3 linked regions of the Saccharomyces cerevisiae S288C genome follow. The protein of the gene in region 1 purifies or fractionates together with the protein of each later gene. This does not show direct contact. Each region holds a gene or a part of one and is shown in the gene's direction. Other genes may lie near its edges.

What was found.
Region 2: the proteins of RTS1 (region 1) and TPD3 purify together in Saccharomyces cerevisiae (affinity purification with mass spectrometry; 6 studies listed by BioGRID, with this or other methods). This does not show direct contact.
Region 3: the proteins of RTS1 (region 1) and PPH22 purify together in Saccharomyces cerevisiae (affinity purification with mass spectrometry; 3 studies listed by BioGRID). This does not show direct contact.

What each region holds. Positions count from the first base shown.
Region 1 is NC_001147.6:355,951-360,513, forward strand, and holds RTS1 (protein phosphatase 2A regulatory subunit RTS1), read left to right. Parts: upstream 1-1,723; coding exon 1,724-3,997; downstream 3,998-4,563. Other genes in the region: YOR012W (uncharacterized protein), read left to right, coding at 593-1,006; YOR015W (uncharacterized protein), read left to right, coding at 4,043-4,402; ERP4 (Erp4p), read right to left, coding at 4,511-4,563. UniProt on the Saccharomyces cerevisiae protein: The B regulatory subunit might modulate substrate selectivity and catalytic activity, and might also direct the localization of the catalytic enzyme to a particular subcellular compartment. Multicopy suppressor of ROX3 and HSP60.
Region 2 is NC_001133.9:122,961-127,409, forward strand, and holds TPD3 (protein phosphatase 2A structural subunit TPD3), read left to right. Parts: upstream 1-1,918; coding exon 1,919-3,826; downstream 3,827-4,449. Other genes in the region: serine/threonine protein kinase PSK1, read left to right, coding at 1-1,335; bifunctional N-glycosylase/AP lyase NTG1, read right to left, coding at 3,943-4,449. UniProt on the Saccharomyces cerevisiae protein: Phosphatase 2A affects a variety of biological processes in the cell such as transcription, cell cycle progression and cellular morphogenesis, and provides an initial identification of critical substrates for this phosphatase.
Region 3 is NC_001136.10:123,215-126,811, reverse strand, and holds PPH22 (phosphoprotein phosphatase 2A catalytic subunit PPH22), read left to right. Parts: upstream 1-1,813; coding exon 1,814-2,947; downstream 2,948-3,597. Other genes in the region: VMA1 (H(+)-transporting V1 sector ATPase subunit A), read right to left, coding at 1-25; YDL186W (uncharacterized protein), read right to left, coding at 363-1,196; RBS1 (Rbs1p), read right to left, coding at 3,223-3,597. UniProt on the Saccharomyces cerevisiae protein: Exact function not known, phosphatase 2A performs an essential cellular function.

The sequences.
Region 1 (4,563 bases):
AAGTCGTCTTTACCTTTCTATCATCTCGTCGCATAATTATTAAATTAACTCACAATTTCTCACAATTTATATCATGCCTTTTTTGTCAGTTCGTGGCCTTGCCAGTGGAGATATAACAACTACTTCGTAAAGGGTCCCGAAAGAAATGAAAGAATTACTCATTTGATATAAAAATTTGCATGGTATAACAGAAGTGAAACGCGGGGACAACCATGATCTTTTTTGAGTAGGATAATTTTTTATGTCGGTTTGATATATTATAAAGCAAGTCATATATAATATCATACTGATTTTAACCAAACGATAATCAATCAGAAAAAGAAAATAAATAAAAAATCTAGCACATAGTATTTCAGTACCCTTATGGTTCTGACCTCAGAAATTATTCAGCCGCTTGTTATCTTATAGTACGTTTTATATCGTAATTTTCCTGACATTTTGGGCAGAAATCCTTTACTCCTGATATAATAAACGACGTTTTTTTTCCTGTGTTTTTTATGTTACTATAAGAAATGCAAAAAAAGAAACAATAGAAAAAGGCAGTGACAAAAATACTAATCAGAACGTTGAAAACAAATCAATAGTTTTGATAATGGTAGCATCATCGATCAATGAAGAATCCTCTTTGGCGGTAAACTTGACAAGCGATGTAGAGAAGGCTTCGAAAACTTTGTTTAAGGCATTCGAAAAGTCATACGCAAATGACTACTTGATGAAAAAGTTCTTCCATATCCCAATCACTGAAAAAGTTTCAAGGGCAAGAATAAATGCAATGATACATTACTACACGACGTGCTACCATGACTTGGATGGTGAAATTGCTGAGGCAAATGATTTCGATGCAGTCGCAATATGGAGCCGCCCTGGGTGCCACTTGCCTGCTACACTATCTGACGACGAGTCTTTCAATAAGATTTTTTTTTCACGACTTGACTGTGAGGAAGCACGAAGTCATGCCTCTGGGAATGGACTATTACTACCTTTATGCCATCGGAAAAGATCCTAGCCATCCCGAAATTAGAGGTTCAGTCAGAAAAATACTCGAAAAATATAAAACCAAAGCAGACAAGGCCAATTGCGCCCTTGCTCTCGAGGCTATTTCGGAGCACGCAAGATCTGTGTACGAATATTTCGGTTTCAAAACCTATTTGGTGTTTCAGTTCGGGGTTGGAGAAGTGAACTCCAAAGGAGAACCCGATCCGCAGGGGAAGGGATTCACGGCCTACTTGATGCTCTACCACAAAGATGCAGACACCATCTTTCACGCCTGATTTTCTTCTAAAAATTTTATAGACATTTATTGTATGTATGGAGCATATAGCAACAATAAAACTTAGACCAACATTTTTTGCCGGGTCACAACCCCCTATCCCGGCTGCGAGAAAGGAAAAAAAAAAGTATCAGACAATTGATTATCAAAGAGTATGTGAAACTACGCTTTGTTTTCCACTTCAATTGGTAGGCATGTCAATACGTCTCGTTTCTTCATTGGAAAACTCTTCATTTCAAGGATAAACCATCGTCGCCGTAAGTATTTTGGGTTTCATTTCCTTCCCCCCTCGATTTTGCTTTTTTTTCCTTTTTTTGTTAGATAAAAATATAAACCCTTCTCCATATACCTGTTCACCTCAATACCGTCTTTAACTGGCTTTTTTATTTTGTATAAAAGTTCTACTTATTAAGATCAATAGGCACGTGCTATTTTCGAACATCCACTTTCAATATGATGCGTGGTTTCAAGCAAAGATTAATAAAGAAGACCACCGGGTCTTCTTCTTCTTCAAGCAGTAAAAAGAAGGACAAAGAGAAGGAAAAAGAAAAAAGTTCCACTACCTCATCCACATCAAAGAAGCCCGCTTCGGCTAGTAGCTCTTCCCACGGGACTACTCACAGTTCTGCCAGCAGTACCGGATCAAAGTCTACAACTGAGAAGGGCAAGCAATCTGGTAGTGTTCCCTCGCAAGGGAAGCATCATAGTAGCTCTACATCAAAAACAAAAACAGCGACGACCCCTTCTTCCAGCAGCAGTAGCAGTAGAAGTTCAAGTGTCAGTCGCTCCGGTTCAAGCTCCACAAAGAAAACAAGTTCAAGAAAAGGACAAGAACAGTCCAAACAATCGCAACAGCCATCACAATCTCAAAAGCAAGGATCTTCTTCATCATCTGCCGCTATAATGAACCCCACTCCAGTACTCACTGTTACTAAGGACGACAAAAGCACTTCTGGTGAAGATCATGCACATCCTACTTTGCTGGGGGCAGTATCCGCTGTTCCATCATCTCCCATTTCAAATGCTTCAGGTACAGCAGTTTCTTCTGATGTAGAAAATGGTAATAGTAATAATAACAATATGAATATTAATACTAGTAATACTCAGGATGCAAACCACGCCTCCTCACAAAGTATCGACATTCCGAGATCATCACACTCATTTGAGAGACTACCAACACCCACAAAACTTAACCCTGACACAGATTTAGAGTTAATTAAGACTCCCCAACGTCATTCTTCATCTAGATTCGAGCCATCTAGATATACGCCATTAACGAAATTGCCAAATTTTAATGAAGTTTCTCCTGAAGAAAGAATCCCTTTGTTCATTGCCAAAGTTGACCAGTGTAACACTATGTTTGACTTTAATGATCCAAGTTTTGACATTCAAGGTAAAGAGATTAAAAGAAGCACCTTAGATGAGCTAATAGAATTCCTTGTAACAAATAGGTTCACTTACACGAATGAGATGTACGCTCATGTGGTGAACATGTTCAAAATCAATCTGTTTAGACCTATTCCACCACCAGTAAATCCAGTTGGTGACATTTATGACCCAGATGAAGATGAACCTGTTAACGAACTAGCCTGGCCTCATATGCAAGCTGTTTACGAATTCTTTTTAAGGTTTGTGGAAAGTCCTGATTTCAATCATCAGATTGCTAAACAATATATTGATCAGGACTTTATTTTAAAGTTACTGGAATTATTTGATAGCGAAGATATCAGAGAAAGAGACTGTTTGAAAACGACACTGCATAGAATATATGGGAAGTTCTTATCATTAAGAAGCTTTATTCGTCGGTCGATGAATAATATTTTTTTGCAATTTATTTATGAGACTGAGAAGTTTAACGGTGTGGCAGAATTGTTAGAAATTTTGGGTTCCATAATTAATGGATTTGCACTTCCATTAAAGGAAGAGCACAAGGTTTTCTTGGTGAGGATATTGATACCATTACACAAGGTCCGTTGTTTATCATTATACCACCCTCAGTTGGCTTACTGTATCGTTCAATTTCTCGAAAAAGATCCTTTATTAACCGAAGAGGTAGTTATGGGCTTACTGCGTTATTGGCCAAAAATAAATTCCACAAAAGAGATAATGTTTCTAAATGAAATCGAGGATATTTTTGAAGTGATCGAACCGCTGGAATTTATTAAAGTAGAAGTTCCGTTATTTGTTCAATTAGCTAAGTGTATTTCTTCTCCACATTTCCAAGTGGCGGAAAAGGTTTTAAGTTATTGGAATAATGAATATTTCTTAAACTTATGTATCGAAAATGCCGAAGTCATCCTACCCATTATATTTCCTGCATTATATGAATTAACTTCTCAGTTAGAGCTAGATACAGCAAATGGCGAAGATAGCATTTCAGACCCTTACATGCTTGTTGAGCAAGCAATCAATTCTGGTTCGTGGAATAGGGCAATTCATGCTATGGCATTCAAGGCATTGAAAATTTTTCTGGAAACAAACCCAGTATTGTACGAAAACTGTAATGCATTGTACTTATCAAGTGTAAAAGAAACTCAACAGCGTAAGGTGCAACGTGAAGAAAATTGGAGCAAACTTGAAGAATATGTAAAAAATCTAAGGATTAACAATGATAAGGACCAATACACAATCAAAAACCCAGAATTAAGAAACAGTTTCAACACAGCAAGTGAGAATAACACATTAAATGAAGAGAACGAAAATGATTGTGACAGCGAGATACAGTGAAACAGCAATTCATTACAAGCTCGAAGAAGTGAGGAAGTTTAGGGCATGCCACATTTCAAAAGAGCAGCAGTATATGAAGAGCAAAAAAGAACTGGTAAATGGGGTCAACTTGTTGAAGAAACCAAAGATAGAATCCCCGAATATTCGAACAAAACTATAGCAAAGATAAGCCACTTGGACAATGGTTGTTTGTGGCCTGAGATAAAGGTCTCTTTTTCTCATCATTTGAGCATACTTCAATCGATGTGTCTTCATTTTATTATTTCTATACTTTTCTCCAAATATATCTTCGTTTTTCTTTTCGCTTTCCTTCTTCCTTCTGCCTTTCCTCTATTTATTTTGCACTCCACTCTTTTCCGTAAACCTTGCCTATCTATTATTGGATTTTTGAAAACTAAAGTATAAAGGTATGTCATAAATAATTAAATAACAAAAAAAATAGGATCATGATACAAAAAAGTGCCTTCCCCTTAGCACAGCTGATCCAACAATTTTAAGAGCTTGAAAAGCAACCTATACGTAGTTTTTTTGGCGACTGGTAAAAAAGAACTGAATAATTAATGCCT
Region 2 (4,449 bases), on another chromosome or scaffold:
TCTTCGTCTAGGATATCCACCGGGACATTAAAGGACATGAGTAATCTGTCAACATATGAGGATTTGGCCCACCGAACGAATAAGCTTAAGTATGAAATCGGAGATGATTCTAGAGCACATTCTCAATCTACTTTGTCCGAGCAGGAACAAGTTCCCCTGGAAAACGATAAGGACAGTGGCGAGATGATGCTTGCAGACCCCGAAATGAAGCACAAGTTAGAATTGGCCAGAATTTACTCAAGAGATAAATCTCAATTTGTGAAAGAAGGAAATTTTAAAGTTGACGAAAATTTGATTATTAGCAAAATTTCACTTTCCCCAAGCACTGAATCCTTAGCAGATTCTAAAAGTTCTGGGAAAGGGCTTTCTCCACTTGAAGAGGAAAAGCTAATTGACGAAAACGCTACAGAAAACGGATTAGCGGGATCACCTAAAGACGAAGACGGAATCATAATGACTAACAAGCGAGGAAACCAACCTGTTAGTACTTTCCTACGCACCCCCGAAAAGAACATCGGTGCTCAAAAGCATGTTAAGAAGTTTTCGGACTTCGTAAGTCTGCAAAAAATGGGTGAAGGTGCATATGGTAAGGTCAACCTATGTATTCATAAGAAGAATAGGTATATTGTGGTGATTAAGATGATTTTTAAAGAAAGAATCCTTGTAGATACATGGGTTAGAGATAGGAAATTAGGCACTATACCTTCTGAGATCCAAATTATGGCCACGTTGAACAAAAAACCACATGAGAATATTTTACGGTTACTGGATTTTTTTGAAGACGACGATTACTATTATATCGAAACTCCCGTACATGGTGAAACAGGATGTATAGATCTTTTCGATCTAATTGAATTTAAAACCAACATGACCGAATTTGAAGCAAAATTGATATTCAAGCAGGTTGTAGCGGGAATAAAACATCTACACGACCAGGGTATTGTTCACAGAGATATCAAGGATGAGAATGTTATCGTAGATTCTAAAGGCTTTGTTAAGATTATTGATTTTGGATCTGCTGCGTATGTCAAAAGCGGACCATTTGATGTTTTTGTTGGGACAATAGATTATGCTGCCCCTGAAGTCTTAGGAGGAAACCCTTATGAGGGCCAACCACAGGATATTTGGGCTATTGGTATTCTATTGTATACGGTGGTCTTCAAAGAAAACCCCTTCTACAATATAGATGAAATATTAGAAGGCGACCTGAAATTCAATAATGCAGAGGAAGTTAGTGAAGATTGCATTGAGTTAATCAAGAGTATTTTGAACCGTTGCGTACCGAAGAGACCCACCATTGACGACATAAATAACGACAAATGGTTGGTTATTTGAAGGATTAATGATCATTCTAGGACATTAGTAATTGGAAAAGAAAATGCAAAAAAATATCCAGTAGAAACAATGCTTGGTATGTCGTTCTTCTTACTTTCTTCAGTAATGAGTTGGTAGTTTTCTCTATTTAAATATGAATAAATCAATATGTACTTTCTTTCTTTAATCAAAATGTTAATATGATAAAAATACAGCATCCAAAGCAGTTAATCAAGACTTAAATATAAAAAATTTACATATTTAGAAAACAAAGATAGGGTAAATATTGAAATTACATAGTAAACCATACCTTAAAAGCAGAAATACTGATACCACATGAACTATTGATCAATACTACTGCTATTCTCTTCCTAATGCAAAGAGCTTATTACCATTATTAAATCACTACAGACGATAATACCCGGAATGCCCTTTTTGCAGGGAAAGCGAAAAAGGTGAAAGAGTTAACAGGAGAAAGTGTTAGGGAACTAAGTTACGAAGGAAGGCAGATAGCAACAATACTAACGTGGAACTTATTTCGACGACTATAACAACTGGTATCTGATTATCGAAGAATAATTGAGTGGTCAGAAAGGAGCGAAATATGTCTGGAGCAAGATCAACAACGGCAGGTGCCGTGCCCTCGGCAGCAACAACATCAACAACATCAACAACGTCAAACTCTAAGGACTCAGACTCTAACGAGTCATTATATCCCTTGGCTCTGCTTATGGATGAGTTAAAACATGATGATATTGCTAATAGGGTAGAAGCCATGAAAAAACTAGATACCATCGCGTTGGCACTCGGTCCCGAAAGAACAAGAAACGAGTTGATTCCCTTTTTAACGGAAGTTGCACAAGATGATGAAGATGAGGTGTTTGCCGTTTTAGCCGAACAGTTAGGAAAATTTGTCCCCTACATTGGCGGTCCTCAATACGCCACAATCCTATTACCAGTTTTGGAAATTTTGGCATCTGCAGAAGAAACTTTGGTTAGAGAAAAGGCCGTAGATTCTCTGAATAACGTGGCCCAAGAACTTTCTCAAGAACAATTATTTAGTGACTTCGTCCCTTTAATTGAACATTTAGCTACTGCAGATTGGTTTTCTTCAAAAGTTTCTGCTTGTGGTCTTTTCAAGTCTGTTATTGTTAGAATCAAAGATGATTCATTGAGAAAGAATATCCTGGCTTTATACTTACAACTCGCTCAAGATGATACTCCAATGGTGAAAAGGGCCGTCGGTAAAAACCTGCCCATCTTGATCGATCTGTTGACTCAAAATTTGGGATTATCTACAGACGAAGATTGGGATTACATTTCTAACATTTTCCAGAAAATCATTAACGATAATCAAGATTCTGTCAAGTTTCTGGCAGTTGATTGTTTAATTTCCATCTTGAAATTTTTTAACGCTAAAGGTGATGAGTCTCACACTCAAGATTTATTGAACTCTGCTGTCAAATTAATTGGTGACGAAGCGTGGAGGGTACGTTACATGGCTGCCGATAGATTTTCAGATTTAGCCTCGCAATTCAGTTCCAACCAAGCATATATCGATGAATTAGTACAACCATTTTTGAACCTTTGTGAGGACAACGAGGGAGATGTTAGGGAAGCTGTGGCTAAACAAGTTTCTGGGTTTGCCAAGTTCCTAAATGATCCTTCAATTATATTGAATAAGATCTTACCTGCTGTGCAGAATTTGAGTATGGACGAAAGTGAAACAGTGAGATCTGCTTTGGCTTCTAAGATTACAAATATTGTATTACTGTTGAATAAAGATCAAGTCATTAACAATTTTCTTCCGATTTTACTGAATATGCTAAGAGATGAGTTCCCTGACGTTCGTTTAAATATCATTGCCAGCTTGAAGGTTGTCAATGACGTAATAGGAATTGAGCTGCTATCAGACTCTTTGTTACCTGCCATAACAGAATTAGCCAAGGACGTGAATTGGAGAGTTAGAATGGCTATAATTGAGTACATACCTATCTTGGCAGAACAATTAGGTATGCAATTTTTTGACCAACAGTTAAGCGATTTATGTCTTTCATGGTTGTGGGATACTGTTTATTCTATCAGAGAAGCCGCAGTGAATAATTTAAAAAGGTTAACGGAAATATTTGGCTCTGATTGGTGTCGTGATGAAATTATTTCAAGACTGCTCAAATTTGATCTACAATTACTGGAAAATTTTGTCTCGAGGTTCACAATACTCTCTGCTCTAACCACTTTGGTGCCCGTGGTATCGTTAGATGTCGTTACTGAGCAACTATTACCATTCATTTCTCACTTGGCTGATGACGGTGTTCCAAATATTAGGTTTAATGTGGCCAAATCCTACGCTGTGATAGTGAAGGTTTTAATTAAGGACGAGGCCAAATATGATGCATTAATTAAGAACACAATTTTACCCTCATTGCAAACGCTGTGTCAAGACGAAGATGTTGATGTAAAATACTTCGCTAAGAAAAGTTTGGCAGAATGTCAAGAACTTTTAAAAAATTGATACTAGTTCAAATATATACATACATACACATATGTACACTTGAATGAATAAAAAGTATACATATTAACAACTAGGCCTGCTTTCTTTTCTTTTCTTTTTTTTTTTTTTTACCACACTTAGTCCTCTACTTTAACAGAAATATCATTTTCCAGTTTGACCATAGTTTCTTCAACTGTTTTCTCCTCGTGTTTAACATTGATTTCCGCCTCCACGTTCAGTTCACGTTTTCCTTCCAGGTATTTCACCCACTTTGGATAACTCATGATATTTTGCTGGATTTCCTTGTACAATTGAGACTGCAAATCCCAATCTAAGGAGCTTCTGGGATCATCCGGTGGCAAGAATTGTAACATGTCACCAAGGTTCCTCGATTTAGTGATTATTTGTCCAAATCCAACCAGCAACCCATTTATTTCTGTCCAAAGCCCCTTAGGCAGCCAATTTTGTAATTGAGTTCTTGTCTGATCTGGAGTCTTGCATTTCTGCGCATCTACCCATTTCCAAAGCTTGGTCAATCTATCCACGTGAACGTCAACGCAGATACCTTCAATCTTGCCCCATGCCTTTTGTAATGTTAGATAAGCCATTTTGGGCCCTACACCGGGCAGGCCCAATAGCTCATT
Region 3 (3,597 bases), on another chromosome or scaffold:
GAGCGTTTTCAATTGCACCAGCCATTGTTTCTTTTCTTCTCTATTTGCTTTTTAACTCTAAGAATGAAAGAACGACTCCTGCGTTATAATCTTAGATATCTATATGCTTTGAGAAATGTGTTTGGTACTTTTTATTCTAATCAACGTAGTAATCAAAATGTTGCAACCTTATCGAAAGAGCCATTTCTTGTTTTCAGCTTTTAATCCAGTGTGAGACCCCTTTGAGCGGCCGTGGAAAAAGATGTGAAAAAAAAAAAAAAAAAAAAAAAAAAAAGAAAAAGGAAAAAGAAAAAGAACAATACAATAAGGTTATGCTAGGAATAAAAAGAACAATAGATAGGACTATAGAAGCAAAGTGGAGTCTAATCGTGGTGGCAAAAAAATATTCTCGCCCAATTGGAGTCTGTACAGCATTGAAATGCCGATGAAGAGTCTACATACTGCTGCTGTTGCCGCTGTTGTTGTTGCTGTTGTGTTTGCCGTACAGACATGGAGTGGTTCAAGTTTAAGGTATCTAGGTAGCTGACAGGAATAGGATTGGAATAAACATCTCGATAGATAGAGAGTTCTTCGCCGTCCCCAATTTCAATGACTTTTCTTTCTGCTGGGTTTTGTTTTGTTCGAGTAGGAGCTTCGTACGGGAAAAGCACCGGTGTTTGCACTTGATGTTCGCTGTTCCTGGTTGACATATCATTTGGGCTTAGGTGAAATGAGAAGAGATCTTCTTCGAAAAGCTGCAACTCTTGGTCATCTTGACTCGCACTGTGTTCGGTTCGTACACCTTCTTCCTCGTCACGAAAAAACATTTTGGAATTGCGTTTCCACCAATCGGTAAACGATTCTACAATGGAACGCACGGATTCATCTCTCTTTGTTGAACCAAATGGATCCGATCTTCTCGAGTTGAATTGTGCTGTGCTAAGCTGATATGGATGCGTGCCATTAATAGCTTCAATTGCGCCACGATGTGAAGATGCAGGTGGCCTCCATTTTACAAGTACGTCCTCCATTTTTCCCACAAATACATTTTCTTCTCTTCTTCTTCTGCTTTTTTGTTTCGAAATCACGAGTTGCCTCACAGAGGGGAACTCACTTCTTGGTAAGAATCTGTTTTGAGCCTCCGCTTCAGGGCTGTAGGATGGGAAAGTTATGTCGCCCCCATCTAAACCATCTTCTATACTTGTGTTACACTGCATATTTTTCTAATATTTCTTGGCTATCTGTAAGCAAATCTACATCCAGGAATAGAGTCCACAAGTATATTCCATATAAAAGCACAGAACTACGAAGTGTCGCAAATTAGTTGTTTTTTTGGGAACTTGAACCCATACACCGCACCAAATTATTACAATATTTTGTGACACAGGACAGAATATTAATAAAAGAAGCGAAACTCTATTCTCCTAAAACTTCTTCTTGCGGAATTATGTATCAATTAATGCTAAGATTAATCCAAAAGCTTATACGACAACAATAGTCGTTGTGCACTTTGAAATACAATCGTGTATTACCCTGACATGACCGGGTAATCTAGAAGAGGTTATTATTTTCTTTTCCGCTGAATTGTGGAAAAGAGTCGTGGAAAGTTTCAAAGGGACATCCCCATTTTATAAAACCAATTGAAGGGCTGTAACTAGAGCAAACTTCTTAAGGTACCAGCCCGCTGCAAAACAGTGTTCGAACAAGAACACGCAAACCCGTTTACTTCTTGTCCTACCTGCTCTCTTTCCTTTCCGGTTATTGTTCCTGTTACGTCTTTTTTTGAATTTTATATTATTGGCACTTCTGTATAACTGGCTTTCATTCGAAAAAAATGGATATGGAAATTGATGACCCTATGCATGGTTCAGATGAAGATCAATTATCACCGACTCTCGACGAAGACATGAATAGTGATGACGGCAAAAATAATACGAAGGCGCGTTCTAATGACGAAGACACAGATGAAGAGTTGGAAGATTTTAATTTTAAACCGGGGTCCTCGGGTATAGCAGATCATAAATCCTCCAAACCACTAAAACTGACCAATACAAATATAAATCAGCTTGACCAATGGATTGAGCATTTGAGTAAATGCGAGCCACTATCAGAAGACGATGTAGCACGACTATGTAAAATGGCGGTGGACGTGTTGCAGTTCGAGGAGAATGTTAAACCAATTAACGTGCCTGTTACCATTTGTGGTGACGTACACGGTCAATTCCATGACTTGTTAGAACTTTTCAAGATTGGTGGTCCTTGTCCTGACACCAATTACCTTTTCATGGGTGATTACGTGGATAGAGGATATTATTCTGTTGAGACCGTATCTTACCTAGTTGCCATGAAAGTCAGATATCCACATAGAATTACTATACTTAGGGGCAATCACGAGTCTAGGCAGATTACCCAAGTATATGGGTTTTATGACGAATGTTTGAGAAAGTACGGCAGTGCGAACGTGTGGAAAATGTTTACCGATCTATTCGATTATTTCCCCGTTACTGCCTTGGTGGATAATAAAATCTTCTGTTTGCATGGAGGTCTCTCACCCATGATAGAGACAATAGATCAAGTTAGAGATTTAAATAGAATACAGGAAGTGCCTCACGAAGGTCCAATGTGTGACCTTCTATGGTCCGATCCTGATGATAGAGGCGGATGGGGAATCAGTCCGAGAGGTGCAGGCTTCACTTTTGGTCAAGACATCAGTGAGCAATTCAATCACACTAATGACCTATCACTAATAGCAAGAGCTCACCAATTGGTAATGGAAGGATATTCTTGGTCTCACCAGCAAAATGTTGTCACCATTTTCAGTGCTCCAAATTATTGTTATAGATGTGGTAACCAGGCCGCTATTATGGAGGTGGATGAAAACCATAATAGGCAATTCTTACAATACGATCCATCTGTGAGACCCGGTGAACCAACCGTCACCAGGAAGACACCGGATTATTTCTTATAATATATATCTATTACACCTTTATCCTTACTACGCTATTTCATTCCAACATACATTTATTTTTTTTTTTTTTTTAATATATATTTAGTTACTTTTTCCCTCTAATTTTTGATAATAACAACTTATATACAAACATACAAACTATTTTTTCGTTTTCAAATACTTATTTTTTCGAACACAAAGTGAAAACAACTTTTTCTCATATATTACTGTTCTCATACTAGAATTTCTATAAACCGTTACGTAATTTTTTCGCTATGTATAGTTCACTCCTCACGCTAAATGTTTAATTTATCAAATTTCATCTCTACCGAATCAGTATCCCTAGATGACGGCGAACCCTCAACACTAGCCCTACGAATTCCCTCATTCTTATTACTGTTACTGTCATCACTACGTTTCGGAATCGCACCAGAATATGAATTTTTTCCTTGAAAATGGTGGTACTTATTTGCTGAGGATCTTGTGTAATTGTTAGAATTATAGCTTGGTGTATTGCTATATGGCCCGCTGTGATACTGAGTGTTATATTGGTATTGATATTGATATTGGTATGGGGGATACATAGGGATTGGGGTGCCAAACGAACAGGACCCTTGGGGATTCATATTGTACATGTAAGGGTTCATGAAGACTGTGTTATTGCCCATTAC